2 linked regions of the Struthio camelus genome follow. Each later gene encodes a partner of the first gene's protein in a complex. Links are inferred from orthologs where the notes say so. Each region holds a gene or a part of one and is shown on either strand. Other genes may lie near its edges. The genes, in order: NMUR2 and NMU.

Region 1 (15,051 bases):
TGTCATGTTTGACATTTTGTGTCAATTACGTTGGAGAAAGACAGTTCTGCAGCTGGTAATCTTTGAACTCTTTAGACAGCCTGTCGTGTACTTTGGAAAAAATTGTTCAACGATGGCTAGTTGAGGAATAAATTCCTCCTAATTCTGAGGAATAAAATCATGAAGCTGTGTTTGACCTTCAATTCATGTATATATTCTATGGTCACCTAAAATTAAAATGACTAAATATTCAGGTAAGCCGCTCAGAAACACTGTTTTTCCAGCCCCCAAGCAAGTGGAAAAAGCAAGTTTTACCTGATACCACATGGATTAAGTTGAATATATTAGCCAGAGGCTCAGTCCACTCCACCACAAAGCTGAAGAAGAGCCGGTCTATATGGAATGGAGCCCAGCAAACAGCAAAAATCATCACCAGGACAACTAGTACGGAGAAAGGGAAGAAGAAGAAGAGTCAGTTACAGATTGATAGGGCTCACTAGCTTGCACTGAGCAGAGATGGCTCAGAAAGCTAGATGAAAGACCAGAGATACAATTTTATTCACTGTTTCAAAACCTGTGCCATCCCTTCTGTCTTTCTGCAGTGCTAACTGAAAAGCATATTTCCAGTAAAAGAATAAACTTTCCACAGATCTCTATATTTGATAAATCAATACACGGGCACATGGTGAGCTTTGGATGGAGCAGGCAACAGCCAAGTAATGTAGCTTGTCCAGAACCTAATAAACAAATTGCCAATGAGACACAAGGTTTTATTTGTAGTACCTGGGACACAGTGACCACTTGGACTGTGAGTCTGCCATGCACAGAAAGCAAAGTTTGTGCCATAGGATTTATGTCCTCTGCACACTATTTGTACACCACATGGCACAGGATGAGCCCATGGGAGCCATCCTCGGAGGCTGAGTCTGGCTGGATGCATTGCTTAGCATGAAGAAGTATGCCTCCATGCACAGCGTGGCCTGTGACAGCTCCAGTGAGGACTCTTGCAAACCCATTCCAGAGTTCAGTCCTATTAATGTCTGTGTTTACAGTCACCAGGGACAGAAATTCATCCTGACTTCAGAGCACAGGTTCCCAGTTCAGGAGGTGACTTAAGCTGCCTAGAAGAAAAATGCTGTTGCGTCAAGTATTGAGAACGATTAATGTTTCCTGCATAAACACCATCCCTGTAGTAAGGTGATCTTTGCCTTAAGGGCAGCCCTAAATTCGGAAGCAATGTGAGTACTTTCAGGGTGGTTGGAGCACAAATTCTCCAGCGTGTTGTATATTGTGTGTTGTATATATAAATCTACCTAGGTCTCTACTTTTTCTTGGGAAGGTCTGAGCCATGAAGTCAGCAGTAGGTGATGAATGCTGCTCAGCAGGACCTGTCTGAGACATGAGCAGAGCCTTTGGTGAGACATTTTACAGGCCTATGAAACGTATGCTCTCTGGTGTTGGGGCAGGGCTATAGATATCTCATTAATTATTTGTTTAATGAGAACACAGGTGTGCATCCTTCTGTAAGAAATATGCGAGAAAGAGTATTTGTACTCTGAGATAGAAGGATTCACGCTACAAGGCTGCAAAAGCCAGGTGTGGACTGAGGGATGCAACAGAGACTTGCCATCCAAGTACCTGCCACTTAAGTTTTCTCAGGCTCTACAACGCGGAGGAAAATGCCTCTTTTGATTCTTAGCCAGTGTTTTGCTCCCATGGTCTGTAAGACTCCAGCTAAAACAGCAATAAGCATTTTTTTTGAAAATAAGCTATCCATGACTCTTGGATCCTTTGGAGTTGCTTGGTAGCCTTCGGGACCCAGTCACTGGAGTTTCAAATTTAGGAATTAACTCCAAACAGATTCTATGTGCACTTCCCTCTCTTGTCTGAGATGTACATATAGCCTCTTGTCCATGGTCAATAAAATACAGAAGGTCCCCAATACTTACATAACATCTTAGTGACTGATTTTCTGGATGGTCTCTGAACATTCACAGCCATTTCCTCCACTTCCAAAGATTTGTCTCCTTTCAACTAGCAAAAGGACAGAAGCAGAAGGAGAGCTTAAATAGGAGATGACTTCCTCACTACACATACAACCTTCCTGGTGGGAATGAAACCATTGCAAAAAAAGACCATTTGCACTGGGCTAATGGTTAACCAGCCGTTTTGTCCCTGAGCATTATGTCTGGCTTGCTTTTTGTTAATAAAGATCTCAAACCAAGAATATTTAGGATATGTAGACCAGTTCTCTGAACCAGAGATGATGTTGAATTACAGTGTGGTAAAAGGGTTTAGTTTCCTCCTATTGATGTTGAGAATAGGCTTTGCAAATTATGATAGCTGTAGTTTGAGTTTGAGAAGCCAAAATGTGGGGAAACTCAGGATTCATTGAAAAAATGTTTACTTAAATTTCAGTTGTAGTCTAGGGAAACAGTGAAGCTATAAGTTCAAAACAAGCTGCTGATTTTATGCACCTCAGACTGCATGTTAACAGCAAATTTATATTTAAGTTCCCCACTCTTCCCTTCTCAATGATTCAATATTTAGCCTGTAGTTTGTGTTTCAACATTATTTTGTCTCCTAGCAAAATATTTTTTGTTTGTTTGTTTCCCTAAAAAGGTTCCCCTTTTAAGCAATTAAGCACAAATCAATGATCCAAAAATACCCAGAGAAGCCTCATTGAAAGACAGCTAGAATCACTGGAAAAAATCCTATAGATTTGAAGGGAGCTCATTCATGCCCTGAGTGTTTGAACTAATTGATATTCAATTCATCTGACAATATCGCCTATCTGTCCCATCCTGCAGAAAGCCAGCATGCGTAATATGCCCAGATTCAGCCACATACAGATCAAGTACAACTTTTTTTTTTTTTTATCCTAGCAGTTTTTCCTAGACTTCCAAGAATGGACCTAAAGAGCAAAAATCTGATCCTCCCTGAAATGCTTCCCCAATTTGCTTAAGGTAGGAGCTCTGGTGCTTTGGTGATGGCTGGATAACCAGGGCAAAAAACACTTTTTTTTGCTTTGATTATAACAGGAATTATCTATGGAGGGTGCATAATTGGACACAGCTTCTGAAAGCGGGAAGTGCTGATTAGCCAACAACTCTGGAGTGATGCTTTTTTCAACAGAGAGAAACTAGAAACAAAACTTCTAATTGTATGGGAACAGATATTGGCTGAAAGGAAAGACAAAAGCATGTAAAAAATTTGTAAGAATCTTACGAAATCATGCTATTTGTGCCGCTTCCTTTCTCCTCTCCTGTGGTTCTGTTTCATGATTTTTGATTAACTGCCTTTTTCTTTAAGGATGTTGTAACTTTGATCAAAGAGACCTTCTTTCAGGGCCTTATTTATAGATATAAACCGTAAAAGGGAAGTATATTTAAACTGAATTATATTCAATTATAGGGCAACTAGCTTCCCATGTTTTACATTATTCCCTTTGTCATTTTTAGACACGACCGCATCGCTTAAGGAACAGGGTCAGCTGATTTGTAGCACATCTAGTGATAAGTGTCTGCTAAGATTGAATAAAAGCCCTAGTTTTCCCTCAGTGGTTTTCAGTCTCAACAGTAATTTATCCCAGGAATACTCCAAAGCCACACAGAATACTCTGCTCTGATACTATAATAAACTAGAGACATATATCTTTATTTTTCACCTTCCTCCTGTCATTTTGATAATGCTATAAGGTCCTCTTTAGGCTGAGTGATAATACATGGAGGTATAACTAGTAAGAATAATTCAGCAGTTGCAATTTAATAAAATAATGACTTATGACAAAGTGGAAAAAGAAATGAGTCTATGGCAAAGGTTTTAGCTTGAGTTCATGTCAATGGCTTGCCAGAGGGAGACCTTGAGCCAGGCTAATGGTTACTTTAACATCACTGTGGATGTGCTGGGCTGTTTGTGAGATTATGTCGAGCTGCCTGGAGATGATTGTTACCCATTCCCTGCAGGAGAATTAAAAATATCTGGAGAAAGAAGCTGAAAATTGGATTTTTTTCGCCCTGCATCTTTATTAACTACAGTATTTTATACTAGAAATCAAAAGGCAGAGTGAAATTAGGGCCTTGCCTATCCCTAGGCAAACCTAGTGAGGTCACTCAGCAAAAGCAAGAGAATCGTTTTTCTTAAAAAATGTCTGGCCTGTCTGACACAAGCAGTGATCAAACATTTGTGCCAGCTCATGGAGAACTGGGTGTTTAAAAGCCACATGGCTTGTGCTAGGGCATGCGATCCTGTATATCCGTGATTTGGCTGAATGAACTGCCATCAGGCTGCTGAACCCCTGTGGTCCCCTGCACGTACTCTTCCTCAGCCCTGTTGCAAAGGAAAACATATTAGTGGGAACAAAGTCTGCAGAACAACCTCAATGGAAAGGAGATAGACCTGTCCAGAAGTACACTGGGCTTTGCAGAAATTAGCCAAAGGCAGTCATTGTCCGCAAATGATTCTGTTTGGGCAGCTGGGCATTTCAGGGGCAAAATAGATTTTGATGAGAAGATCTGGACCAGCTGTTCATTGGCAAATACAAGCTGGCGTAACTCAAAGATGAAATCAAAATTACCAGTGTGTTCAGTGTGTTACTGCAGGGAGCTGACACCAAAATAAATGCTGGTCTCTTGTGAGGTCTCTTGAATAATCTCACTGAGGTGTGGTCAGTGTAGTCACATCCGATCATCTAGATTTCCTTCATAGATGTCCTAAGTAGGTGGGCTAAATAACATTCTCTCCACTGACTGTAAAAAATCCTAGCTCACCGGAATCTAACTTTCAGTCAACCAGGGGTAGCCACCTACCCTTGTGCCTTCAAGATCAGTTTGAAAGACAGGGACCCTGAACCGAATCCTGCTGCAGCACAGACTTCTCTCTCCAAGTGATGCCACTCCACCTCTAGCAGCGCTGTAAGGTTTAGCTTTTACAAGCAGCCGTATCCCCATGTTCTCACTTCTGCCCCTGCCTCTTCCTCCTCAGCTTTTTGGCTACAACTTGCAACCAGTAGCCTTGTGGCTGAACTGGGTTTGTAAGAAGAGAGAGCACTTCTGACTAATTTAGGGATCAGTCCTGAAGGCTTCTGTGATGAGGACTCCTGGAAAGAGACAGTCAGAAGCTTCCAAGATCAAATCTAATGAGGCTACAGTGTAATCATCAGCGTCCTCTTTCCTATAGTAACGTTGCAACTGTCTGTTGCCTATAGCAGTGTAGTACTAAAATATCAAGCCTTAAAATTAAACTGAAGTAGATCATGAGGTAACTGATAATGAGGTAATCAGATTGAAGGCTCGGTTGGCCATGAATTTCCCAGTGAAGAAGACAAATATCTTTTTTATTTTTATAAGGAATACAATTAAAAATGAAGTCAGCAACTGTGTGATCCACGTTTGCTGCCCTCTCATAGTTCCTTAACATGTCACACATACTTCTTTTTGTGTTGCATCCTGAAGCTCTCCTGAGCACTGGGTAAAACTTGAGGGAGAAACTACAGTCAGAAAGTGCTGTTTCTCCAAAGCTTGGACTATTAGAACAGAAAGATTGTGTCCTTGTTTGCTGAATCTGAGCTGTTGTACAATCTTTGGACCAATTCTGAATTGTTCCACTACAGCCTATGAGCCATACATGGCATTCAGGAGACTCTAGGGTGTAGGTAAAGCTTCAGAGATTTCATCAACTTTGATTAGATAAAAAATGTTTTTTTCTTGGAAATGGTATATATACACCACTCACCCATCATTTAAATTGAAAAATAAAACTATCTTGCCTAGTGCAGCATGGAGCACAAAGGAGATATACCAGGGATAGGTGTAGTTTAAAATTTGGAAGTCTGAGATGGATAGAAAGAAAAGCAGACGCATTAACAAAGATACATTGCAGCCTTTAGGACAGAAGACTTGAACAAATCTGTGGCTATACAGAAACCTCTAAGAAGCAGCCATCAGTTGGGACCCAGTTTCTCTTCTACAGTGGGGGTTAGGAATATCTATTGCCACAAATAGAAGCTGTTGCAGTCTTCAAGGTTTCTCTTTACTAGTTTTGGGCTTTCTTTTTCTTTTTTAACATACACTATTTTCAGTACTTTCCCTTCCCTTTTGGTCTTATTTTTCAAAATTTTCAGTGAAACTATGCAAAGAACCCACAGTCACCACTGAACTGTAGCTTTGCAAGAATTTAACCCATTCATCCTTCAAAGATTTGTGGCGTGCTATAGATTTCTGGCAATTAATCCCTATGGCTTTTCCTGAGTATGGAAAAATTGCTTTTGTGTAGCTTCAGATAGGTATATTGCATCCCTTCCTTGTTACACGATCAGACATAGCTTTTTAAATGCAAAGTTATATTTAGGATAGTGAGCTTAAGATGTATGTTTTCCAAATATATGTAAGAAAAGGAACAAATCAGCAACTCACTATGACTAGCTGTGCATTTCATGCTGCATAGCTTTATAATACTATGATAGTGTTTGTTTTATCCATATATTTAAATGATGACACTTTGTGAAACTAGTCCACTTTCTGAAGAGAGCTCCATAGGAACTCCAAGGTAGCCTTAATCTATGTTGAAACTGTGCCATACTTATATAAAAGAAATGATTGCTGAAATTGCTACCTGCAGCAATAAGGCGGGATTTCAGTTTATGACAGTTTTGTGAGTTTTAAAAACTGAGTATTATCACACTCTCCAGGGAAGGAGAAGAATGAATGAAACAGAAATTCTACAGTCACAAGAAGAGGGAAAACAAATGATACACAAGATTCGATCACTACCTTACTCCTTTTCATTCTTTTCACATTTTTCTTTTGGTCTGTTTCCTTCTAGTCCCCACTGAAAAGGTACAAAGCTCTGTGAGACTGGAATCAATACATAGATTTTGATGTTAAAATAACTTTGAAATGTCAGCAGCAGTGATAGTAATTTTAAAAAAAGATTGGAGTAAATATTTCCCCAACATAGCTACATTCATTTTAGAATGGTGTTACACCAAAGAAGGAGTTTAATCCACTACTTTCGGGGGTTAGAAATGAATGTCTTTTTTGGGAAGACAGATGGGCAAGAAAAAGATTAAATCAGACTTAGGCATGTGCATGTGTGCGCGCTCGCACACACACACACACACAGACACACACACGCAGACACGCAGACACACAGACACACACACACACACGCAAAAGAATGAGCTAGGGAAACACTGAGCACGGTTTCAGTAGGACTTACTCTTAGCCCCATCAGATAGTACAGCACACTCATGACCCCCATAGGCAGCACGTAGAAGAGAAGGGAAGTAATCTGGACAATACAGTTGTAGATCCACATGGGCCTGATCACAGTGCAGGTAGCAGAGCCAGGGACTAGGGTGCCATTTGGGAAATACTGCCACATGATGCCATGGGTGCTTGTGTTGGGAAGGGCAAAGAGGACAGAGAGAACCCAGAGCACGATGATGGTCCTCAGCGCACGCTTCCGAGTGCTCTCTAGCTTGGCACGGAAAGGATGGAGGATGGCAACGTATCTCTCCACGCTGACCGTAGTCACACTGAGGATAGAGGCAAAGCACACCGTCTCAAAGAGCACTGTCTTGAAATAGCAGCCTACAGGCCCAAACAGGAAGGGGTAGTTGCTCCACATCTCATAGATTTCCAGTGGCATCCCAAAAAGCAACACAAGCAAGTCGGAGACAGCAAGGCTGAAGAGGTAGTAGTTGGTAGGGGTCTTCATGTTCCGGTGCTTGATGATTACCAGGCAAACTAGGAAGTTTCCTACCACACCAACAACAAAGATCAGAATGTACACCAAAGCCATGGGCAAGAACAGATGGCTCCGCTTGGGCCCACACAGGAAGGCTAAGTAATCCTCAGTGCTGTTTAAATATCTTCTAAGACGTTCTTGTAGAGCAAGGTGATTAAACCAGGAGGTATTGGTGCTCCAGGCCATTACTGGTTCTGCTGAAATGTTTCCCCACTGAGATCCAGACTTCTGTAAGGTTCTCTGTGCTAGTATGCTCACTTTTAGCAGAGAGTGAGGGAGACTTGTCTTGCCAGATCTAAATACACAAAGCCACTGAGAGATCTGAGTGCGTCTGCCTGGTTTCGGTGAAGGTTTCGCCGTTGTAACAGCTGCTCCCCAGCGAGGAGTCCCTTAGCCAGAAAGCCCCTCCTTTCACACATATTCATTGGCTAGCTAAGTGCATTAGATTATAGGGTAAGAAAAGAGGTTCTAGCTACTTATATCAGCTCCCATAGCAGATGCATTTACTGAATCAGAAATGTGGGGTTTAGAGAGCTGGGAATCCGAAATATAGGATGTGAGACTAGCTGCAGGGCACTATTATTTGTCAGAGAGTGGGAAGCCAGACCAAAAAAAAAAAAACAAAACACCCTCAGTCCAAAAGCTTTTACGAAATTATATTGATGCTACATCTAGTTATAATCCACAGGCAAAAAAAAAAAAAAAGATTTTTTTTTCATGTCTCTGCTGATTTTTCCTTTCTGTTCTCTCTGACAGCAAGTACTTGGAAATAGAAATTTATCAGGAGAAGGCCAAACTATTTTGGAAGTTCATCATGTGGAATTAAACAACTATTGACTTTCAGCTTTTTTTAAACAAAGAATTTTTTTCTTCTCCTGAAACCTGACATAGAATTTTAATTGCACTTCTTATTGGTAGCAAGATATTTTTTCCCTCCTTCATTTTGTAAAGGAGGATTACGTCAAAGCGCACATTAAATTTTCATGGAGGGTTGTCAAATTTGCTTGATCAGAGATTTGAGAGTTCTGGAATCTGATCCCATATTCTTCGCTTCATTTTGAGATGCTTTTTGAAGAACATCATACTATTCCGAAGAGTTATTTAGTACCAGCAGGATTCATTTCAGGTACTTCTTTTTAAAAAATTTCCATTGATGCTTATAAACTCATTTCTTCCTGAATGGCAACCATTCTGCAAACATACTTTCTAATCCAAAAAAGTGTATTCTGCAAAGACAACTGCTTTGTCACAATAGATCGGTTAGCTCTTTATAAATTCTTAATTCCTTACTGAATTTTGCTAAAACAAAAAAAGCTTCAAAGCACGTGGATGTTGTCTTTGGAGATTCAGAAAGCTAAGCTGTCTGGATTCGTAGACGTACAAAAGCTGTGAGAGAGCTCGGGGGATTTTGTCAGCGGGATGCAGTTTGGCTACTCAGTAACTCTCACTCGCTCTCTCTTTTGAGTACCTGCCCAATCCCCCCTTGAGTTCATTTAAACTTCTTACAACCCCAGCATCCCTTGGCAAGGAGCTCCATGGATCTAGTATCCATGTGTGAAGAACCTCCTCCTTCTCTTTGTTTGACCCTTTAGCCTGAGTTTCCCTGGCTGCTAACCAAAGACTGCATATTTTTACCATCCAGGAACAAAAGAAGAGGCTTCTTGGCTGAGCATCTCCTCCAAAATCCTGATAGGAGGTGAGTACCAAGTATTTCCAAGGAAGGTGCAAGCCACTCCACTATGGGCAGCGAGGCAGTAACCTGATCTCGCAGAAAAACTGTTTTTAGACTTCAGGATTAAAGCTGTCTTAGCTTCTGCGTCTTTTACTCCTTCCCTCTCTAATCATCTCCTCTGTTTTAGTAGCAGTCTAATACCCTTGTAAGGAAAATATTTTGGTAATAGGCACAGACTGCCTCCAGGAATAGCAGCAGTAGGTAAAGAACCAAGGTCTGGTCCCAGAGACCAAGCGGTTTGAATTGAGGCATATCAGATGTGTGGAGCTCTGAGGATTTTTTGTTCTACTAGTGTGCATTCATTTAAAATGTTAGAGTTATGGAACATACCACAAGAACTACACAAAAAGACAGATGCGTGTCTCTTGTGAGAACTTTCTGATCCACTGAAATTATCTCATATGTAAATCTTCTCCATCAGAAAGCCTCTACTGATTTATTTTAGCATTGCCCAGAGGCATCGTGTTGAGCCAAGTAAACTGTTTTATTGGATTGGTAAGCTACGAGTGTTCCCCTTTGACCTATTTCTCCCTTCATTAAGGAATCATCTGAAAGAGGTTCATTGCATTTTAACAATTGAATGTGAATTTGATTGCAAACTACTGTTGGCATTACAGGTAGGAACAGGAGAGTCATTAATGGGGTGCCTGGTGGGGATCAGGATTAAACGTTTCAGAGCGCAGTAGGATGCAAACACTTGTGAAGAATTTGTGCAGGCCTAAACACTTTCTCTGACTCTTCCTAATATCCACAGTGGGGTTTTTTTTTGCCCTTAATACCTCATTTCTTTCAATTTCTCTCCTTTTTTTCCCCCCTAGCAAGTTCTCCCACTCTCTACAGCATCATGACTGAGGTGAGTAAACACTTCAAAAATAATGACCAAATTGGTCTTCACTTTTGTTCTTATACGTTAACCCCTGTAAAGAATTGAAAAGGAAACTTGAGGTCTGCTCAGCTTGGACTCAGTCCTACTGATAAGAAATCAAAATGGATTGAATCATTCACTGAAAAAGCCAGCAAGGCAGCCAAGCTCTCATGATGTCTGTGAGAGGAAAGCAATGGGCTGTCAAAACACATCAGGTCACCTCAATGTGTGGATGTGCCAAGCTCACCAGTGTCTACTTGCCCTCGTTCTCTCTCACTGATCCTTTCTAATCGTACTGTGCTCTAGTGCTAATGAGCTTTAAGAGTGAGACCACCAGAGGAAAACAGGTGTATTTGTCTAACAGATCACTCCTGGAACCATGTCACTATGACATGATTAAGTGGCAGACAGAGGGGACAAGAAAGGCTAGGACAGTGGAAAATATAATTCAGTTAATTTATCTAAGCTTTCTTCAGTGTTCTCTAGTGTAACTGTCCCAATAAGGATCAGATAGCACATCCAGCAACCAAAGGCTAACCCTGGCATGTGCATACTTGGAACCATTTTATTTTTACAAGTGAGATAATAGAAAACAGAAACATATTTTGCTTTTGAAAGGAATTTAAAACACTTTGTATTTTCCATTATAATGCATACTTCATCAGTGCTTTCCGTTTTCCACTCAAAGGAAGACAGTGTGCTGCATGCTAGCCTTAGAAATGTGCAGTTTAATGTTGAATAATATGCTTGGCAACATTAACCCAGAGGAAATATTCCTGCACTGTCCCCCTACTAGTCACGATGTGGCTTTTTCTCCTTCAGGACTAAATGTGCCCTCAAGATGCTTGTGGTATTTCTCATGCCACATTTACATTGTGGAGTCTCTTCCTTAGATGACGTAACAGCGCTAGAGCACATACGTTGCATATTTAAGAAGCGGTAAATTCAGGTGCCTTCATGTTGCCCAAAGCCCTTGTGAGGGCACCCAAGCCTGTTGGAGCTTGCTTTCCTGAGTCCTCTCGTGGACCCCGTAGGAGCTGCCAGCAGATCCTCACAGCTCTGTGAAATGCTGGTTCAAAACCACTGTTCTATTCCTTTAATAACTTTGCAGTATGAAGCATCTCTGGCCCGCAGGGATGCAAAGAAGAGGCTGTAGAATTGGTAAGCAGAAGCATTAAGATATTCTGCACTGAATATGTTAACATAAGTGCTAGAAAAAAATTACTACCCTTGCCTAGAAACTACTAAGTTTTAACTATAGACTGTTGATTTGACTCTTCTTTCTTCTTACAAAGGTTTAGTTGTTTCACTGCTGTACCTGGCATGTAAGTCCTTCTCGTCTTTCTAAGTATTCAGTATAACATTCAAGGCAGCATCAAACGCGTGATATATTTTGTATATTTTCTCTCCCTCCGGGCTGGAGGAGTGAGCTGCGCTATAATAATAGCTGGATCTGCAGTAGCCTTGCCTTATTGTTAGTCATTTTGCAATTATCTGAGCTCTAGGCAGATGGTTTTTCCATGACTGTGCATGATATCTGAAGTCCCCAGGATATCAATCAACACACATAAGAAGTGGCTTTCATGAGTACAGTACAAAATACCAAGGAGCACACCTCTGTGACTGGTGTAGCTGACAATCTATACAGACAGTGCAGACACAGAGCACTTCAGGTAATTTACCTAACTTTAGTCATTAAAAACAGCAACTAAGCCTAACTTTTCAGGCTCCTTCTTTGGTCAGTGATAGAAAGGGGACCCTCCAGAAAGTGATTTGTCCTAAACCATAATATAAGATAGGAGGTGTGAACTGGAAGACCTTACTTTTCCCTATTATCTGCAGGACTCTAAATAGAGTGAACCACTTCCAGGCTGTATCTTGGAGAAGCTAGCCGGAACAGCCAAAAACAGTACTGAGAGCAAGACAGCAGGTAAACAGCAAGGACAGTGAGAGATTCAGTGCTAAAAATCACTCCCTGGTCTCTTCTTGTCTGGTAGTCTGGGTGTACGGTCCTGGGCAACCTGCTCTAGCTGACCCTGCTTGAGCAGGGGGTTGGACCAGATGATCTCCAGAGGTCCCTTTCAGCCCCAGCTATTCTGTGACTGTGATTCTGTACCCACTGAAATGGCTTTCAGTGATGGGTTGTTTTGTCAGTGTTCATCCTGGTAATGAGTGGGAACAATGTCCTTCCTTTTTCATAAGTGGGGTGTTGTGTGTGTGTGTTTATGTGGGCAGGAGGCAGAGGGTGACAGGTAAGATGTAGTGCACGCTCAGTGTGCAGCTGAACATCAAAAAGAGCTGGAAAAGAAAGCTGATGCAGAAACTCTTGTCATCCTGAATGCGTCCATCATGATGAAGTGGCTCTGATTTACGTGGGGGAAGATGAAAGGATGGTCACGGCAGAAAATATATTGACGTTGCAAGCACGATACAGAATGACTCAGACTGCCTGAGTCAGGAGGGAATGCAAAACTCTTTGGTTCTGCAGGGCTCTGACTTACGCAGGAAGAGTCAGATTATTCAGCATCCCTCTATGGCTTTCTGCATGTTATTACAACATTGATACTCCACTACAGTTTCTTCTTTTCCTTGCAGTATACATGTTTCTCTGGAGAGCCCATCTCGCTTGCTTGTCTGACCCACAAGAGACTTAACTAGTTTCATCTTTTTTACCCTGACATGACTTATCAGTATTATTTTTCAGCTTGCATACATTTGGCTTCTGTTGCTCACCTAGGGATTTTTTTCTATTGGAAAAAAACATGCATATCCTAGAGTCTGCATAGTGCGTGGATATGTAAAAGTCGTATGCACTGATGAGATGGAAGGAATCATAGTGATGAGTCTTAATGCATTCAAAGAAGTGCAGTGATGCATTGTATTATTGGAGATGGTAGAAAGCTTGCAACTTGTTATAGGATAACTGAATTTGTCAATAAAAACAATAAATGGGACACATGGAATTTATATGGCACCTATATATAAAATGAAGATAAAAGTATATGAAAGAAATGTTAAGAGAATCCCTTAACTAAACATTTATTTGTTTAAGGTTGGTGTGGAGGTCTACTTGCCTGTGAAGAAAATGAAGTTTATGTGAAAAGTTTTACTCTTATTGGAAAACTATATATACACTCTATTCCCTCCCCCCCTGAAATGCAGTGATATGTTACATTATACTAAAAAATGAACATTCAATTTAGAACTGTTTACATAATAATAATGAAACTTATTGAAACTGAAACAACTTTTTTTCCTGCTCCTACTTTCCAAAAGGGCATCTTTAAATTATCTATGCATGTTTCAATTTTCTTGGCTCCAGGAGAAGTATTATCCTACGGCTCATTAGAAAGACTGTTTGGCAAAAATACTTGTCAAGAGTTTCCCATTCTCTTCTTTCTTCTGCTGTTGTTCAGCTTGCTCTGCAAGTTGGATTACAGTGATCAGCTGTCTTTGTGTCACAATGAGAACCAATACTGTTTGACTTGGAACTAATGAAACATTTTATCAAAAGATGTGCATAATTTGGAACATTAATATGCTGTCACATGATGTTCTCTTCCTGCTCTTTTTCCCATTAAGCTATCCTTATGAGCTGTATTTTGACTTAGTTAAATGCAGCCAGGGAGGCTACTGTTCTTATGAACGTCTCCTGCTATGAAGTCAGAGAGAGAGAGAAAGCTCTAGACACAGCAGTGCTGAAAAAAATATATGGCAGAGAGATAATTTACTATAGCTTTCAAATAGCCTAATGAGCCCTAGACATGCAAAACAAACTGCAGATCAACTTCTTAAAAAAAAATTTCAGATTGCAGTGCACACCTCAAGAACACCTATATGATTTGCAGCGAGTGAGCTCTCTATGAGTAGTCCCAAGCAGAACTGCAAAAAAATTCCTTGTGAGAGCTGAGAGGCAGGGGAACAAGGAACAATCCACATGCAGTGAAGACAACGGGTCCCATGTGCAGGACCAGGGTAGAGGTTAGCTGGCCTGGCCCCCTCGGATGACCTGGTGATTTGAGATTCCGCAGCTCTGCTAGGTCAGCTCCTCCCCAGCCAGGATTCAGATCACTCTGCAGTCAGGAACCTTATTCCCATTGCTGAAAGATGAACTCCTGAGGCTGAGGAGCTTTCCCACACAGACACCTGCAAACAGGCAAGGGAGTGAAGGTTGTCCCCTCCTCATTTCAGATTTCAGGAGAATGCTCTTTGGCCGTTTCCTTATACCGTTGCCCACACGTCAAGGTTGAGGCCATAGCCACTGAAGTGCAGCTTTCCTTATTCTTCCCCAGTATTAACTGTACTGTGGCTGTGCACGTTTGGCTCAGTCCCCCTCTCTTTACTGGGGAGAGTGGTTTAGCATCCTCTGTCCAGACTGATAAGATATTTTGCCTGGCCAAGACAGCTTCATTACCTGTGCTCACTTGCAAACACACCCCATCAGATCTGAGCTGGTGCAGAACTCTACTGATTTGCTCCGATTGTACTAAAAGCTAAATATATCACTTATTGATAAACATATGAGCATGTCTAAAATGCCTTTAATAAAATGAATTTCTGCTGCAGAGAGAAATGACTCAAATCTGACTCAAGTTATTGTTCTCCCAATACAGTAAGCTGTATTTAAACTAACAATAATATTAAATCTGAAAGGGCATCAGAAATAGATTAAGTAAGGCAAACAGAACTAACAAGTCTGATGTTTTATTTTTCAACTTTATCTTTC
Region 2 (15,684 bases), on another chromosome or scaffold:
CTTCACCCTGAGTAATGTTTTTTCATAAGGAAAAAAATCTTTTTTTTTTTTTCCAGGAGGAACCTGTGTGATCTAGCACATGATATGAGCAGACAGATTTTTAATGAGAGGAGAACAGACTGCAGTTCAAGTAGCTTTCATTTGGATGGTTTGTTCTGAGGAGTCATTTTTACCACTCATATGCTGTAAGTAGTGACGTATATAGCTGTGTGCATATTCATGCAGATGCCAAGGTGTCAGCTAATTAAAAAGAGAAAGTGTCACTTTTGTCTTCTAAAATGTAACAACTTCCCTAAGGAGTTAGTCTAGCAGCTCTACTAGTTCAGCCAGTTATAGGGTTCATACCGTCGAACAGATAGAGAAAAGCTATAGCTTCTCAGTTGTCAGAAAGCTTGGGATTTCTAGAGTTAGTTGAGCTCTCTGTTTTTCTGCGCACAATAAGAATGAATTGATTTAAAGTTGTTTATTACTATATTTTCCCAATCTATGCTATGTACATTATGTAACCTAAAGAACTATTAAAAATTAATAGTGTGGTACAGTAAAGAAACCAGTAACGAAGGATGAGGACGCTACTATGCTGTGCTTGATACTTATGTATAATGAAAGGATGATCCTAACCTAGGAATCTTGCAGGCACCTTTCTCATAGTAACAAATTATTTTCCCCTCAAACTACCAAGGAAATATATGCATGCCGCACCTATGCGGAGAAACTCTGTGTAGTAGGCATTAGCTGTACCTCACTAGCAAGCTGGGGGAAAACCTGTGGTGATTTTGAGATTAATATTCTCAGCTATTAAAAAATAAAGGGAAACATTGAACAGTGTTTACATCTCTTCATCTTATCTTTTTTTCAGAGAAATGTCAGAGCTTAGACAATCTATCAAATTAAGCCTAGGATTGTAATTTTCTCTGAAGCCAATGGGAGCACACAACTTTTGCCAAAATGCATCAGAGTTCTGTAAGCAAAATTTCCAGAAAGCCTTCCTCCTAGTTGGAATTATGTACCTATTGTGAATAAAACAGTGTAAACCATTCCTAGGTGGCATTAGTTTGTTTCTCCTTCAAAGAGAAATGATTCTATTATAAAATCATCAGCTCAACTCACAGTCTTGTGGAAGACAGGACAACAGTTTGAGTGTTATTAGCCATCCACTGTCACTTTTCTTTTCTGCTTAAGGTCTTTTTACTTACAAAACCTGCAAGTTCTGAAAGCAATGTTGATTTTTTTTTTTTAAATCATTTTATTAATTAAGTGTCATTAATTGACAGGTTGCTCAAAACCCTATTTTCCCAGGTAAGTCTAATCATGTTCCTTTTTAAACAATCACAGCTGTTGATTTGTCCTGGGCTTTATTAGAGAAAAGTATGATCTTGGAGATCAGCCACTTTTCAAACAGCTTATGAGACCGTGCTTCTTACTCATCTGCTGTCATTATTATTTAATGTATTACTTTTATTTGAATAGAAAATGAATTTTTTGTACTATCCTCAGGACTTCATAAAACAAACTGTTCTGTTTCAAGTTCCATGTTTTGTATGGAAATAATGAGGAATGTTGATGGAAGAATTAGTTAAAAATCATTTATCTTCACCTTTTTTACATTGTTCATATATGTGTGTTATAGATAAGTACTGTATCACTCTGTAAGTTTTGGCTTTTCCATGCTGAAGAGTCCTAGTCTTGTCAAACTTGCTTTGTACTGAACTTGCCACAATTTCCAGCATTTTTTAGCTGTGGGTGATCGGAACCGCAGTATTCCACATGTGGTTGCACCACAGGTTAGTACAGTGGCTGATTAGTGTTTTTTATTTTTAATTTTTTTCAATATTATTGATTTTTTTTTCCCCTTTTACTGCACTGGGCAATGAGCTTGTGTCCTTGTAGAACCATCCATGGTGATTCCAGTGTCTCTTTCTTACATGATGGTTTACTTCCTGTTGCTGCACAGGTACAACATGGGCTATTTTTCTCCACGTTCATTACTTTTCAGTTAGCAGCATTAATCTTTCCCCTGAGACTGCAAACAATGTGGAGATGAAATTTAGTGACCTCCCTTTCTACCGTAATGAATTCCTTTCGAACTAAGAATGAGGAAATGGTCAGTTTTTGCCCATACTATATGTCTGTGAATAGGAGACTTCAGTCTCTCTGTGCGTGGTGAGCGAAATTTAGTCCTAATTTAAATAGGTTTCCATTAGTTTGCAAGAGTTGCGCTAATACTGTTTTTCCTGAATTTAGTCACTGTTGTTCATCGAGCAAATTTCCTTTGCCCATTTAAGAGCATCTCTCTTGTATGCAAGGACCTTCTTATACAAAAGATTCAGGTTTTGAAGATAGCTCTGAATATCTGCAGCAGTCAGTCCTAGCACTATTTCTTAGTGCAGTCCTCTCAGCCCAGGGGCTGGGATTTCTGGGATCATTTGCAGCCAGAGTTCCAAAGTAGTTCGGAGAAGTTCTCCTCTATAGTTCACTAGAAACTTCTGAGATCACTTAAATTTTTTGTATTCGTAGAGGAAGAGCTGAGGAATTATTTTGAATAAAATAAGAAGAGACTGTTCTGAAAAAATATAGGGCCTATCATGCTTTAAATGGCTTGGTTTTTGTTTGCTGTTTCCTATTTGTAGGGAAATAAATCTGCATTATTAGTCAGTAATATATGAGGACAATACCTTAAAGAAAGAAGTGCATTTTCTGAGTAGGGATTAATTGATGCTTGAGACTTAGAGAACTAAGCTTGGTGGAGGCAAAACATAAACAGGTTAGAAGAATACCCATGTTTGCAACTTGTTCATTATATAGAAGGGCAAAAAGTGTTTGTGTACCCGTTTGAAGTTGTGAGAGACACTGGTGTGCTTGCTTACATTGACCCAGTTCAAGCACTCTGCACTAATAAAGTCGGGAATATTTTGGTGAAGGAAGTACAGTACGGATAAAAAGTATCTCAATGTTTAAATTCAGACGTGAGTGGAATGGTTTCTCATCATTTTTATTAAATCAAAGTCACAGAAAAAACAGTGTGGATCGACCTCTTCACAGGCTGTGTATGCGTATGCACAGAAAGGCAGTGGATTCAGTGACGTTCTGCCTGACCTTGACTTTTCTGAAGATGGAGAGGATGATGGTTTTACATACTCAGCTGTTTGATTTCCTTTCCACTAGCCATAATTAACATTATTCAGGCAACATTAGGAAGAACATAAATATTTCAAAGAAGCTAATTACAGCATCCAAAACATCCTCCAAGCTGTTCTTTTAATGAGGATGTGCTTTGTTCCTGCAATAGTGTAACATCAATTTCATCAAGCAATTAAACAAAACAAAAACAGATACAATACAGAAAGATGTATTTTCTCCTGCTTACACAAATGGTCTATTACTTGCATTTCTGTGAGTTGCTTGTGTAAAGTTCATCATCAAAACTTACATAAACTGAGATCCAAGTTTGGAGAACTTATTCTGTCAAAATCCACATAGATCTCAGTAGGAATTTTGTATCAGTATAAAGTTGAGTTTAGGTTTATTGCAAATATGCATTTTTATTAATAGTTAAGTTGTTCTTCTAGGATATGTTTAGGAAGATGATAGCCAAATCTGTTTACTTTACCCATATGTCAGAGGTCAGGTAAATTAAAATCAGGACAAAGGCACAGTCTAAAATGAAAATGCAGTTCATATTGGGTTGGAAGTGCTGGAAGACTCCAGTCCACTAGGATTCAGGGCACAAATAGGTTTGCATGTTTAATGATTACTGCTTTTGCTCGTTAACAGGAATCAGCTGAAAACAAAATTTGAGTTTCAGATGAAAGATTAGGGAGCAATACAACTCAAAGCATAGAGAGAAGTATTAAATGCTTCTTTTCTAGTAAATGGAAGACCAGAATTTTTCTGACTGGAAATTTTTTGGCATCATCCTCAATCTCCTTTAATATGTTCTATGCAAGTGGATTCAGCAAAACTTTTCAGACTACAGTTTAAAACAGATATCACAAATGCAGTTTGGGGCTAATCAGAGCTCTTTCAGTGGTAACTAGCATTGTCCCCCGGGGTCAGTACTGAGTCCAGTCTTGTTCAATGTATTCATCAGTGACCTGGAGGAAGGCACAGAGTGCACCCTCAGCAAGTTTGCTGATGATACTAAACTGGGGGGAGTGACTGATACCCCAGAGGGCTGTGCTGCCATTCAGAGGCACCTGGACAGGCTGGAGAGCTGGGCGGAGAGGAACCTCCTGAACTTCAACAAGGGCAAGTGCAGGGTCCTGCATCTAGGGACGAATAACCCCATGCACCAGTACAGGCTGGGGGCTGGCCTGCTGGAAAGCAGCTCTGCAGAGAAGGACCTGGGAGTGCTGGTAGACGACAAGTTGACCATGAGCCAGCAGTGTGCCCTTGTGGCCAGGAGGGCCAATGGTCTCCTGGGGTGCATTAGGCAGAGTGTTGCCAGCAGGTCGAGGGAGGTGATCCTGCCCCTCTACTCAGCCCTGGGGAGGCCACATCTGGAGTGCTGTGTCCAGTTCTGGGCTCCCCAGTACAAGGGAGACAGGGCACTCCTGGAGAGAGTCCAGCGGAGGGCTACAAAGATGATGAGGGGACTGGAGCACCTCTCCTATGCAGAAAGGCTGCGAGAGCTGGGCCTGTTTGGCCTGGAGAAGAGAAGGACTGAGAGGGGATCTTATCAATATGTATAAATATCTGAAGGGGAGGTGTCAAGAGGACGGGGCCAGGCTCTTCTCACTGGTGCCCAGCGACCGGACGAGAGGCAACAGGCACAAACTGAAACACAGGCAGTTCTATCTAAATCTGAGGAAAAACTTCTTTGCTGTGAGGATGACAGAGCACTGGCAGAGGTTTCCCAGAGAGGCTGTGGAGCCTCCTTCCCTGGAGATATTCAGAACCCGCCTGGACGTGATCCTGGGCAATGTGCTCTAGATGACCCCTGCTTGAGCAGGGGGGTTGGACGAGATGATCTCCAGAGGTCCCTTCCAACCTAAACGATTCTGTGATTCTGTGAAAATAAATTTATTTCAAGAAGTATCATTTTTTCACTCTTCTTAAAATATTTTGTGCACCACTTAATGGAATGTTTACAGGTATGCAACTTTCAACTTTATAAAATACTATAATTTGTTATATTTATTAAATATTTAATAAAAAAACCATTAGTTAACAAAATATATAACAAATTAAATCCTTCTTTAGGCCTGTGCTCAGGACACAGATTAATGCATTTGAACCAAGATAGAACATCAGGGAGATATTCTTCAGGGCTGATGAATAGGATAGGATTTAGGATAATAGGATAGGATAGGATTTAGGATAATGTCCTTTAAGTAAATGTCTTCTGTTTTTATTAGCAGAATGCAGAACCAAATGCAGTTCCTTGATTTGGATTGGCTTAAAACAATTCTTTTAATTAGGTAGATATAAATACAGTAATACATACAAAATACAGGCTTGTTTAATTTCTGTAGTGCTCTGATAACTTGCCAGTTATCCATCAACACATTCTTTTCCCTATCTTATTAAGGAATGCTTCATTACTGAATCTGATAGAAGGATCTTTCTTCTCTTAGAGAATTATGTAGTTTCTTAGCACCCTGCTTGGCAAACTTTTCAAAGTTTTGATGGCCTGTCAGGAGTATTCATGGTGGCAGAGTACAAATTGTAGAACATATGACTGATTGGTGCAAGGGCAAAGAGTGGATATAAATGCAATTGTGACAAATCAAAGTTGTCTTTTGCTTCTCAGTGACACCTGCTGTTCTTGTCAGGCAGCTTTACACCATCACCCACCATTTGCCCCCAGCGAAAATTCACTGAAATGTCCAAAAACTGCACATTTATTTTTGAAGAGAACAGTCTCTAAAATACCATTGTCTCATTGCTGGAGCATTAGGTCTATTTCCTTTTAAAGACAGAAAAATAAAACAACCACGTAAGCAATGGGAGAGAATGGAAAAAAATGAGAAATAAATCGTGAGGCTAAACTGTAAACTGTGAGATCCTGCCGTGAAATACTCTCTGCAGCGTCTCAGCATCAGAGCTGCACCTCAGCAGTGCAGGATCTTCCTGAGGCCAGGGCTGAGGGAGCAGGGACCGCCTGCGAAGCACGCCTGCGGGAGGCTGGACTCCGCTGCTTGGTTTGGCGTGAGGGGCAGGCCAGCACCAGCCCTGGTGTCCTACTGGCAGCAGCACAGTCTCGTGGCTCAGGCAGCAGAGGCACCTGTGCACTGGGGGAGCAGCTCTGGTAAGTGGGGACTTGCTGTGCGTCAGTGCTGGCTGGCCTATGCTGCCCATAGGTCTCTACGGATTTGGGATCTGGTGTTGCATTTGAATATCTTATAATGGAGTTATCTTGGCTATCTATGATCTGACAAGGCATAGTAAATAACGCCTGGGAACAAGGTTTGCAGCTGTAGCCTAAGTAAAATGCCTTGCTAAGCACTGTGTTAGGATTTTAACTCCCAGATATCACCATATTGCTATGTACTGTTTCGTGATGTGTTGTTGTATGTGTATGGGATTGCTGTCCTAGTAGTCACTCACATTCAAGTTACGAAGCTGGTTTCTGTTCAGACAACTCCCTGTTGGGGATGAAATGCACCAGTGAGGTGCAGGGTGAGGGGGCAGGTCTGGTGACAGTGGCCAAGTTCAGGCAAGAGCCCAGACCGTCAGACAAGTCCCTGGTGATGGAGCAGGTCTGCGGGCAAGCTGGGAAGTCAGTCTGTGGGTCAAGGTTTGGATCATGGGGCGCATGAGCAGGGCAGGGGCATGGCTGCAACAGAGCTCGGGCAAAGACTAAGGGCAAGAGGCCCAGTTTAAATGCAACTCCCGAGCAGAACGGAGCAGCCTGCACTTCTCGCTGCTCTTCAGAGAGCTGAAATACACAGGTCTCTGATCCAGGGTCCAAACTGCGCTGCTGTCCCAGCTGGCCTTGGGTAGAGGCAGCCAGCGCCGACTGGGGTGTTGGTGTGCCCAGGGGCCCAGCAGCCTATGCCTTTATGGCACTTTCCTTAGCTGCGCAGTGGAGTGGTTTCCTAACTCTCTGTGCCGCAGAGGGTAGGGGAAGTCAGGGGTCAGTGACGCCTCTGCAGTGGTGGGTGCCTGTAGGGAACGGAGGGAGCGGCGGCTCCCAGGCAGGCGGTGCGTGTTCGCAGAGCGCCTGGCCCCAACTGCTGAGGTCCTCTCCCGCGTGCGAGCTCTGAGAGTTTTATCTCCTGGCTTTGGTTAGGCTGGGGCAAATCTGTGTGTGTGACCGCCCAGGTTTAATTCATGCCTCTTCTCCTCTCCAGGCTGGGATTGGACAGTGTCTGAAAAACTCACCTTTGCCACCCCCGTGTCATTACTGTGAATGACCCAAGTGAGTAGCGGAGAAGCAGCACCTGGTGTGCTCACTGTCAGGAGGCTGCTAACACAGCTCGGTGTGTTGTACCTGCGATTTTTAAGCAGGAATTTTTCTGAAAGAGGAGATTGAATAGGAAGGGGCCTAGAGCCTGCCCGTCCCCTCAGCTTGATGCCAAGCAGGGGCACTGGCACGGCGAGTCACAAGGGGAGCTGCCCCCAGAGGTGGGAGAGGGGCTGAGTCACCAGCTACCAGGCAGCGATGACAGGGTCTGGCCCTGGGGTGGGTGATGGGAAAAGAGGCAGGGGTGGGCATGGCGGGTGGTAGGGAGTCTGACGTGTCCTTGGTGAGTCAAGCTGATGCTAATCCACGTGTCGGGGAGATTTAAAAAGTTTGGGAAGAGAGAGAGGCATGCCCAGACTGAAGGCTGGCAGGGAGGCAGAGCAGGAGACACCATGGTCATCGGAAACTTCTGCCACCAGCAGCCTCTCGCAGCCGCTCCCCTGCGCAGCCGGAGGAAGGCAGGGGACGGCAGCACCGCGCCAGGGTCCCCGCTGCTGCTGCTGCTGCTGCTCCTCCTCGCCTCCTGGCTGGGTGCTTGCAAAGGTTAGGAGCATCCTCCCTCAACCCCTTCTTCCACTGCCTCCTCTGCATTTGGGGGGAGGGGGGTAATGGGGGAGGTGAACCTCCGGCAGCATGCCAGCCTTGCAAGGGGGCTGCGAAATTCCTGCCGAAGGAGCTGCCGGCTGCGTGCAAGCCGCTGCCTCGCTGCAGTTCTGGGGTGGGATTAGATACCAGTTTGTGAGAGATACAAAGAGACGCGCAGGACCTCACAGGCTGGGTGGGTGCCCACGGGGGTGTCGGGGCCCTGGCTACCCCTGAGCAGGAACACGGGAACAGCGTCCAGGGCTCTGACACCCAACAGGGAGCTGCTGCTGCAGCCAGACCGTGTCCCTTCATGCTTCTTGCAGCTCTTTCAGCTCCAAACTTGCAGCTCTTGGGAAGGAGGCTCCAGCCCGGAGCCCACGCAGGGTTTGCCAAGGAAGGCCCCCCAGTCAGGGGCCAAGGCAGAGCGAGTCCTGGTAAGGGGGTTTCTTATCTGCTGCTGAGCAGGGCTTGTGGCGGGGGGCGGGTGTCCTTATGTGTCCCTGCAGGGTTCCTCTGTCCTGGCAAAACTACAGTCCAGCAACTTGGGGAAGTGGCTTGTGTTAAAATGGATTTCATTTTTAAACACAATTTACTTGATTTAGATGCTAACACAGAGGAACTATATGTTTTACAGAATCAGAGGAGAATTTAGGTTGGAAGAGACTCTGGAAGTCATCTAGTCCAACCTGAAACAATATTTATTACATTAGGGATTCGTGGGTGCTGCCTTGCACATAGGTTTTATTTAAGTGGAAAAAGATAGAACTTGATTGTTTGCTTTAGAGACAGAATTTGATTAGCTTAATTTAGTTTGAAATATAACATGTTGCACATGAAAGTTACAGGTTTTGCAACAGGCAGTGCTTGTGAAACAAGCACAGATAATGGACATTTTGACAAAACATACTTTGTTTTCTATTTTTGCACTCTGTGTATATTAAATACTTAATATGACTTGTGAGAATCATTGCAAAAGAAGTACATGTGCAGTGAGCATGTCTGCTTTCTTGTATTGTGTATGTGAGTTACTTTCATCAGGAGTTTTCATTTTGGTTTATTTTTGATATCAAGAAGCAGAGAAATTTAAGTACACTATGCTGAATATTCTATTCAAAATAAATTCTCAGGTTGTGAAAGAGGGAAGGGAAGAAAAAGGAGGGAAGGGATGGGCAATGGACACACAGTATTTTATCACTGTTCTTATAGAAAAGATTTCCAGGAGCCCATACAGGGAGAGCAGAGGAGGAAGAGGAGAAGAATATTTAAGAAGCGAGTCCCAGGTTGAAAAGTTACTGAGAATGTGCATCTGGCGTTCTGCTGACGTGGAAGAAACTGAGTTTTTAGCAGTGGGCAGACTTGAAGGAGAAGAGAGCAAATATGTAGTGGACAGCATCAATTCTGTAGGAGGATTTCCTCTTCCATGTTCCTTTTGAATAGAATTAGCTTTCCTGAATAGCATCAATTTTTTTCTATGGATATTTTGTGTATCTTACAAGATCACTTACTGTTTCCCAGTGTGTGTTAGTATGAACGTATGTAAATGAATGAAGTCCCTATAGCCTGCAAGAGTGCACTGCTTGGTGCTGGAAGATGCGTAGTCCCAGTTTGAGCACAAAACAGATGGGACTGCAAATGAAATAAGGATTTTGTGAAGCTCCATTCAAAGGTTTTTGCTCCAAGGAGGAAAAAAAAAAAAAAAAAAAAAAGCTGCTCTTAGCTTTACAGGCTGTTGGATTTCTTCTCTTCCCCTGGAAAGTCTTGGGAATCAGGCAGACAATTCCAGTTTGAATACATTAATTAAGAATAAGATACAAAGCAAAAGAATTGTAGCACCTTTAATTTATTTGGAGTTTCTCTTTGAACTAAAACAAACATCAAAAAAGCACATTTTTCACTGGGAAGCATTTACAATGTGGAACTTTCTAAGAGATTTGAAAAATTTCCCTTTCCTACATAGGATGAAGTTGAGACCTCCCCACTTTTTTGTGGGAAGAACAGGCATCCAGAATAATGAGTCACACTGAGTCTGGAGTACCAAAATGGGATTTTGAAATATACTGCTTTACACCTGAAAATTACTACTGTTGTTATTAGTGGTACTTGTAAAACAAATGGGGATGATGGGCATTCATATCTTGCTCACCTAGTCATTATGTGCTAGGTCTATCTTCATCTCTCTTTTCAGTTAATTTCATTCAACATTTCAGGAAAAAAAAATTACCACAGGTAATTATAGACTGTCTGGGAGGCTACAAAACCACTGGACATCTGAGGTCTTCAGCAGGCTATACCACTATTGCTCAGGCATGGCTCAGGGACAGCAATTTTAGGCAGGGGGATAAATGACTTCTTAGGGTCTCCTGCAGTCCTAGGACTCTGCAGCTACAACAATACTCTTCCCCAGCAGCAACCCACTTAACAGCATATCCCCACACCGATATGCTAGTGTGATCTCTAGAGTGCTCTGTTCCAGATTAGTGATGTTGATTTCTGTTATTTAGGGAGATTTTGATAGTACGTTATTACTAGAAATACACTATCAGATAAAATAATGAGAATGTGGAAAGCTGGATATTTTGGGAGCTAAGCTGGGAGGGACCCAGATATAGTAACTTCCAGGTCTGCATCCCAGGTGGGCAGAGAAGGAGAAGAGGAGCTGCCCCCAGCCAAGCACAGCACCCAGGGGCACACAGCAGAGCTTGCTCCAAGTGGCTTTTAACAACTCCTTCTGCCAGATCAGATCAGTACAGAGGCTGCACTGTCTCTGGTACAACTTATTATTCTCCATATTCCAGCAAAAGGCAGATTGTACTGTTATACACGGCCTTAGCTTCAGCTTTCCACCGTAGCTTTATGAAATTATAGAATACATCTAATCTTCTAAGAGGCTGAACTTTTCCATATAGCACACACCAGATAGAAGAAACAAAGCCAATTACATACATACTGTCTATTTCTTTCTCAGAAATGCCGTATTCATGTCACATGTATTATTGAAATGCATGTATTATTGAATAGGTTACGTCGCACATGTTTAATTGTAATATATACCACAGTAACAAGTAGGATCCAGATTCTCAGCGTCAAATGAGTGAACTGAAGGTGAGCTGAGTTCTCAGAAAGCTGGAGGACTTGATAGCTGTAGATGCTGGAATATTTTTTCCTGAGCAGATCTAGAGCTGGAGAGCTGCTGCACACATGTTCTTGCCTGCTACTTATTGCTGAGAATAGACTAATGCTAGGCTGACTGTTGGTGAAAACGAAGCCATTTCCACCCTGTATATTGCAAAGAGATGAAAGTGTCCATATCTGCCGCCACCTTGTGAAGGAACCTGCTGCTGCTGTGAAAATGAAGAGTGGGCAGAAAGTGCCAGACCAATCTAGGAGTGGGTGAGGTGGGAGATGCCCTCAGAGCATTAAGCTCACTGTACAGTCAACAATAAAGGTGCTTGAGACTTGCAGGGTATTGTATTATGTTCAGAATTATTATCTAAATCACTGACATAGAATCCTTATGAAAATGACCTCTGCTGTATGGTATTGACAAGCCCTGTTTGTGCTTCCAGGTGCACCGATGCCATCCCAAGCCCTACAGGCAGATCAGGATTTGCAGCTGTGGAAAGAGGTAAGCATGATGGGCAGGCTGACTCAGCCCTTTGCTGTAGGGGTGACAGCTGGCAGTGATTCTTCCAGTTATTGGGAGTAGGCCAGGGATGCAAGATTAAAACACCGCAGATGCATACCTCAGGCCTCAGCTGCAAATGCTGTGTGGGATGCTCCTGTTTCTTCTGTGCCAGTCCTTGGTCTCACACCTCGCTCTCCCACACGTCTCACGCATGGAGCTCAGGTGCTGCTTCTCCCAGTCCTACCTCTCCTGTTCATCTCCTATCTTGATATCAGGGAAGAAGTAAAACGCCTTATTTTCTGGATTTTCGGAACAGTTGTTCCAGGAGGATGATGAGGCTGAGTGTTGAAGTGTTATTCAGGAAAAAAACTGTCTTGGCTCAATGGAGAGCTGTGCTGGAGAACCATTGTTATTTAACTGTCAATCATCAGGCAGTCACTGTCCCTGGAAACAATGGTGTCCCATTTAGTATTTTTATAGTTTGTACATGATAACAGTAGTTGTTTCAGCTCATCCAATTTATCTCTTACTTCTTCAGTTCTGCACACAGGGCTGGGTATTTAATCATATCCTAGCATCTTAATTTACTAGGTAAGGGATAATGTCCCTTTAACATTTTAATACTGACTGCTATTCTGACTTCCGGTCCCCTCTTTTAAAGTTACACACATTTGTTCTGATGTGCGTTAACACAGATTCTTCTGTGCCCTTTTGGAACAGATGGGGCAGCAGGGCTTAACATTTAGAGAGGGCTAGCCTGAAACGTGCCATGCTCCCCTTGCTGTCATCCTGAAGGACTGTGGTGACATTCTGTGGCTTCTGATAACATGAGAAAGCAAGCAACTCATCATGGAAAGAAATGGGTACACATATACAGAGTAAATTTGCTCCTGTTGGTGCCTTTCCAGGACACACTTCCCTTATTGACAGCTCCCCTTCTTTCATCTCAGAATTACTGACTCCAAGACCAGCCTACTCACAGACTGGCACCTGGACAAGGCCTGATGATGTTTATGTCCTGGGAGAAAAGTGATGTCTCAGGAAGTAAGATCCTAATAGCTAGAAGAGTTTATGAAAATGAGTTATTTAAATTCTGGATTAAAAGATGCTGTTTTACACATTTTTGCATTTACTCTTTGATTTGCTTTTGTAATACAAGATTTGCTCCAACAGCCACTGGGGGCAAAGGCAAAGCTCCTTTTTTCAGTGCATGGAAAAGTATGGATAAAATACTAAATTCTGTATGAAATTATGTAACATAATCAGTATAAAATGTTGTTAATTACAACTAGAATAATGCATGCCTGGAGAGAAACTAAGAAAAGAGAATTAGATGCACTCTAAATCAGTCTGAACAATACTAGTTCACCAGATTTTCTCTGAATGAAAAGAATCTTTTTTTTTGTTTTTTACTTTATTAGTTGATCATTCTGGTCAGGAAATTAAAGCTGAAATTAAATTAGTAGTTTCCCAGGAATGACTCTGAGTTTATAAATATGGGAACTTGGTAACTACAGTGCTCCTTTACTGTTCTCCCACACCAGTTCATTCCTTTATTCTATTTAACCAACCCCGAACAGCTCACAAGCGCTCATCCTCATGCCACCTTTCTGAAGTAGGAGAGAAAATTAATGAGAACATGCATCAAAGATGATAGAAATTAAAAAAAAAAAAATCCAATTCTTATTTTTTTCTTAAGAAAAGAACAGTTGCCAAGTCCTGAAACTATGACTTTTCCTCAGTCCTTCCTTTTTATGTGCAGGTTTTAGCTAAGAGACCCTCTGCTTTGCACTGTGATGACCACAAAGCAGTCTCTGCCTTTCCCTGCCCTTGAGTTATGGTAGTTGTCTAATAGTCACTTCCAGCAACAAAAGAGACAAACAAACAAACAAACAACCAAAAAAACAAATAAACCTTCACCAAGAAGAAATAAGAGGCTTTTAACTTGGGCTTACAGAATGATTTCAGCTTAATTTATTTTATTTGCCGCTAATTTCTCTGTTTACGTTTTCTTACCCTGAAATCTCAGTAGTGAAGGTGAACTAATGTTCCCAGAGAGGAGCAAATGTAAAATCAAGGGAAAAGAACAGGGGGAGGATATGTTACCAACAAAAATTATTTGAAAGGGGAATCCTGTGAGCTATTAGCTTTCTCACTATCCCTGCTAATGCTTTCTCATAGATTGTCCCTAGAGAAATGAATCATCTCTTGTCTTAAAGTACTCAAATATGCATTATTTTTATTGCTTTTTTTCACTTAATGTTTTCTTCACTAAAGAGTGCTCTTTAGGGCTTTTTATCTATAATAAAATTAAAGGACCCATTGTGTTGTCCACTCTTCATTTGAAAAAAAAAACATTTTTGATGCAAACTGTGAACAGTATAATGATTGTCAAAGCTTTTTGGCATCCAAACTAACAGTATCAAATATTCAATGGAAAAAATTGGTGTATTCTAATGCAGGTTGCTATTGATACAATTTTAAAATTATATAATGAAAAGTTAAGCCTTTTTTTCATTATTATTAAATTTTGCATCTCCAGTTGGAGTACTGGAGATTTTTTGGCTTCCCTATAGAATACTTCGAGCTTTCAGCCCTGGTAAAATAACTTCAATGAATCTGAATGTCCTTTTTTCTATTTCTTCTCCCCTGATTAATATTCCTGATTAATAACTGCACCAGAAATGATTCTGTAGTCTGGGATTCTTTCAGCCTGGAAAAGAGACAATGGAAAGAGGACATGATTAAGGTCTATACAAGGTCACGAATGGTAAAGAGAGGGTGGGTAGGGGGATCGTTCATTACTTCTTTCAAGACAAGACTGCAATAGCAGTGAATGAAGCTAGCTTTGAAAGGACTGATCAAGACAAAGAGGTGGTATTTCATGCAGTGCTCAGGAAATCCTTACTGCGGGATGTTGAGGATGTTAAAAGTTTACAAGGGTTCACACTTTGGCCAAACGCACAGAACAGGAGTCCATGGAGCTTTATTACCAAGGAATGACCTCTGACTCAAAGTTTGTGAGCTCCAGACTGGCAGTGGTTGGAGAGTACAAGTTTTACTAGATAGCTGATCTCTTCTTATGCTTTTCCCTGGGGGCACGTTTGGCCGTTCTTGGAGGTAAGATGTGGAGCTAAATGGACCTTTGTTCTGATCCTGATGAAATGACTGGGGCGGGCAGGGGTTTCTTGGGTTGGTCTGTGGCGGAGGATGGTTTTGTTTTTCTATTTGTGTCACTTCCATCCCAGTCCAAAGGCAGTGACTTTTTCAACAGCGTTTTTTGATCTGAGTCCAGATTCTTTGAAATATACTGAATATATCTCTTATTAGCCTTGTGATTTGGGGTCCAACTCCTGTAAACAAGATCTTGTAAGGCTTTTCATTTGTCAGTGAAATCAGTGGAAACCGTGGAGTCTGGCTGATTGGTGACTCACACAAATGGACCGGGATGTATAAGATGTGCCTTAATTGCTCAAGAGAGGTGTGTGTCATACACCTGCAGGGATGCTGGAACCCAGTCAGAAGAATGGTATTTGAGGGCTGTGAACATTGAACCACTTGCTTTAGTATTGCCATTTTCTTTGCAGTTTTATATAACCAAAAGATATCACAGAAGATATCTACATTCAGAGTCCATGCTTCAGAAGCTTACAATCTTCATTTAAATTATGAGTCTGAGAAGCTTAGAAATAGGAGGGACATGAGTGGTATTTCAGAATAACGGATACAGATTAGTATGTGGTTGTTGAGATTAAGCAAGGGTAAATTTGTTCATTCATTTAGGAGTGGTTGTTCTTCTTGAATTTTAGGAATGTACCTATATGAATTCCCTATGGTGGATAAGCTTGCCATGCCTTTGGTTGCACTGAACTGTTTTTGAAAATGTATGTATTACATTAAACTGATTTCTTAAAGAGTACTCTGTGAACTTTTACAGATAGATGATGCATGTTCTGCCTACCTGTCCAAAGATTCTCATCCTCAGGTGAGTCATGTTAGATAGAGGTTACTTTATTTTTGATATTATTTATTAAATGCAGCAGGAGTGGAGGTGTGGTGCCTGAGT

What was found.
Region 2: the proteins of NMUR2 (region 1) and NMU are in contact, whole or in part, in a cryo-EM structure (PDB 7XK8), measured with the Homo sapiens proteins. The link is inferred for Struthio camelus from reciprocal best matches to the Homo sapiens genes NMUR2 and NMU. Residues at the interface, in NP_064552.3 of Homo sapiens: Ser42, His43, Gly98, Glu102, Glu105, Met106, Trp107, Arg108, Asn109, Tyr110, Pro111, Thr123, Phe126, Glu127, Asn181, His185, Pro199, Ser201, Thr203, Cys204, Val206, Tyr213, Phe284, Arg288, Phe291, Glu295, Trp297, Ser298, Glu299, Ala302; in NP_006672.1 of Homo sapiens: Glu146, Phe152, Ala153, Ser154, Gln155, Gly158, Tyr159, Phe160, Leu161, Phe162, Arg163, Pro164, Arg165, Asn166.

The regions. Positions count from the first base shown.
Region 1 is NC_090954.1:12,816,069-12,831,119, reverse strand, and holds the start of NMUR2 (neuromedin-U receptor 2), read right to left. Parts: upstream 7,915-15,051; coding exon 7,198-7,914; intron 2,014-7,197; coding exon 1,929-2,013; intron 421-1,928; coding exon 295-420; intron 1-294. UniProt on the Homo sapiens protein: Receptor for the neuromedin-U and neuromedin-S neuropeptides.
Region 2 is NC_090945.1:56,461,134-56,476,817, forward strand, and holds the start of NMU (neuromedin-U), read left to right. Parts: upstream 1-7,779; 5' UTR 7,780-7,800; coding exon 7,801-7,951; intron 7,952-8,316; coding exon 8,317-8,427; intron 8,428-11,559; coding exon 11,560-11,618; intron 11,619-15,555; coding exon 15,556-15,603; intron 15,604-15,684.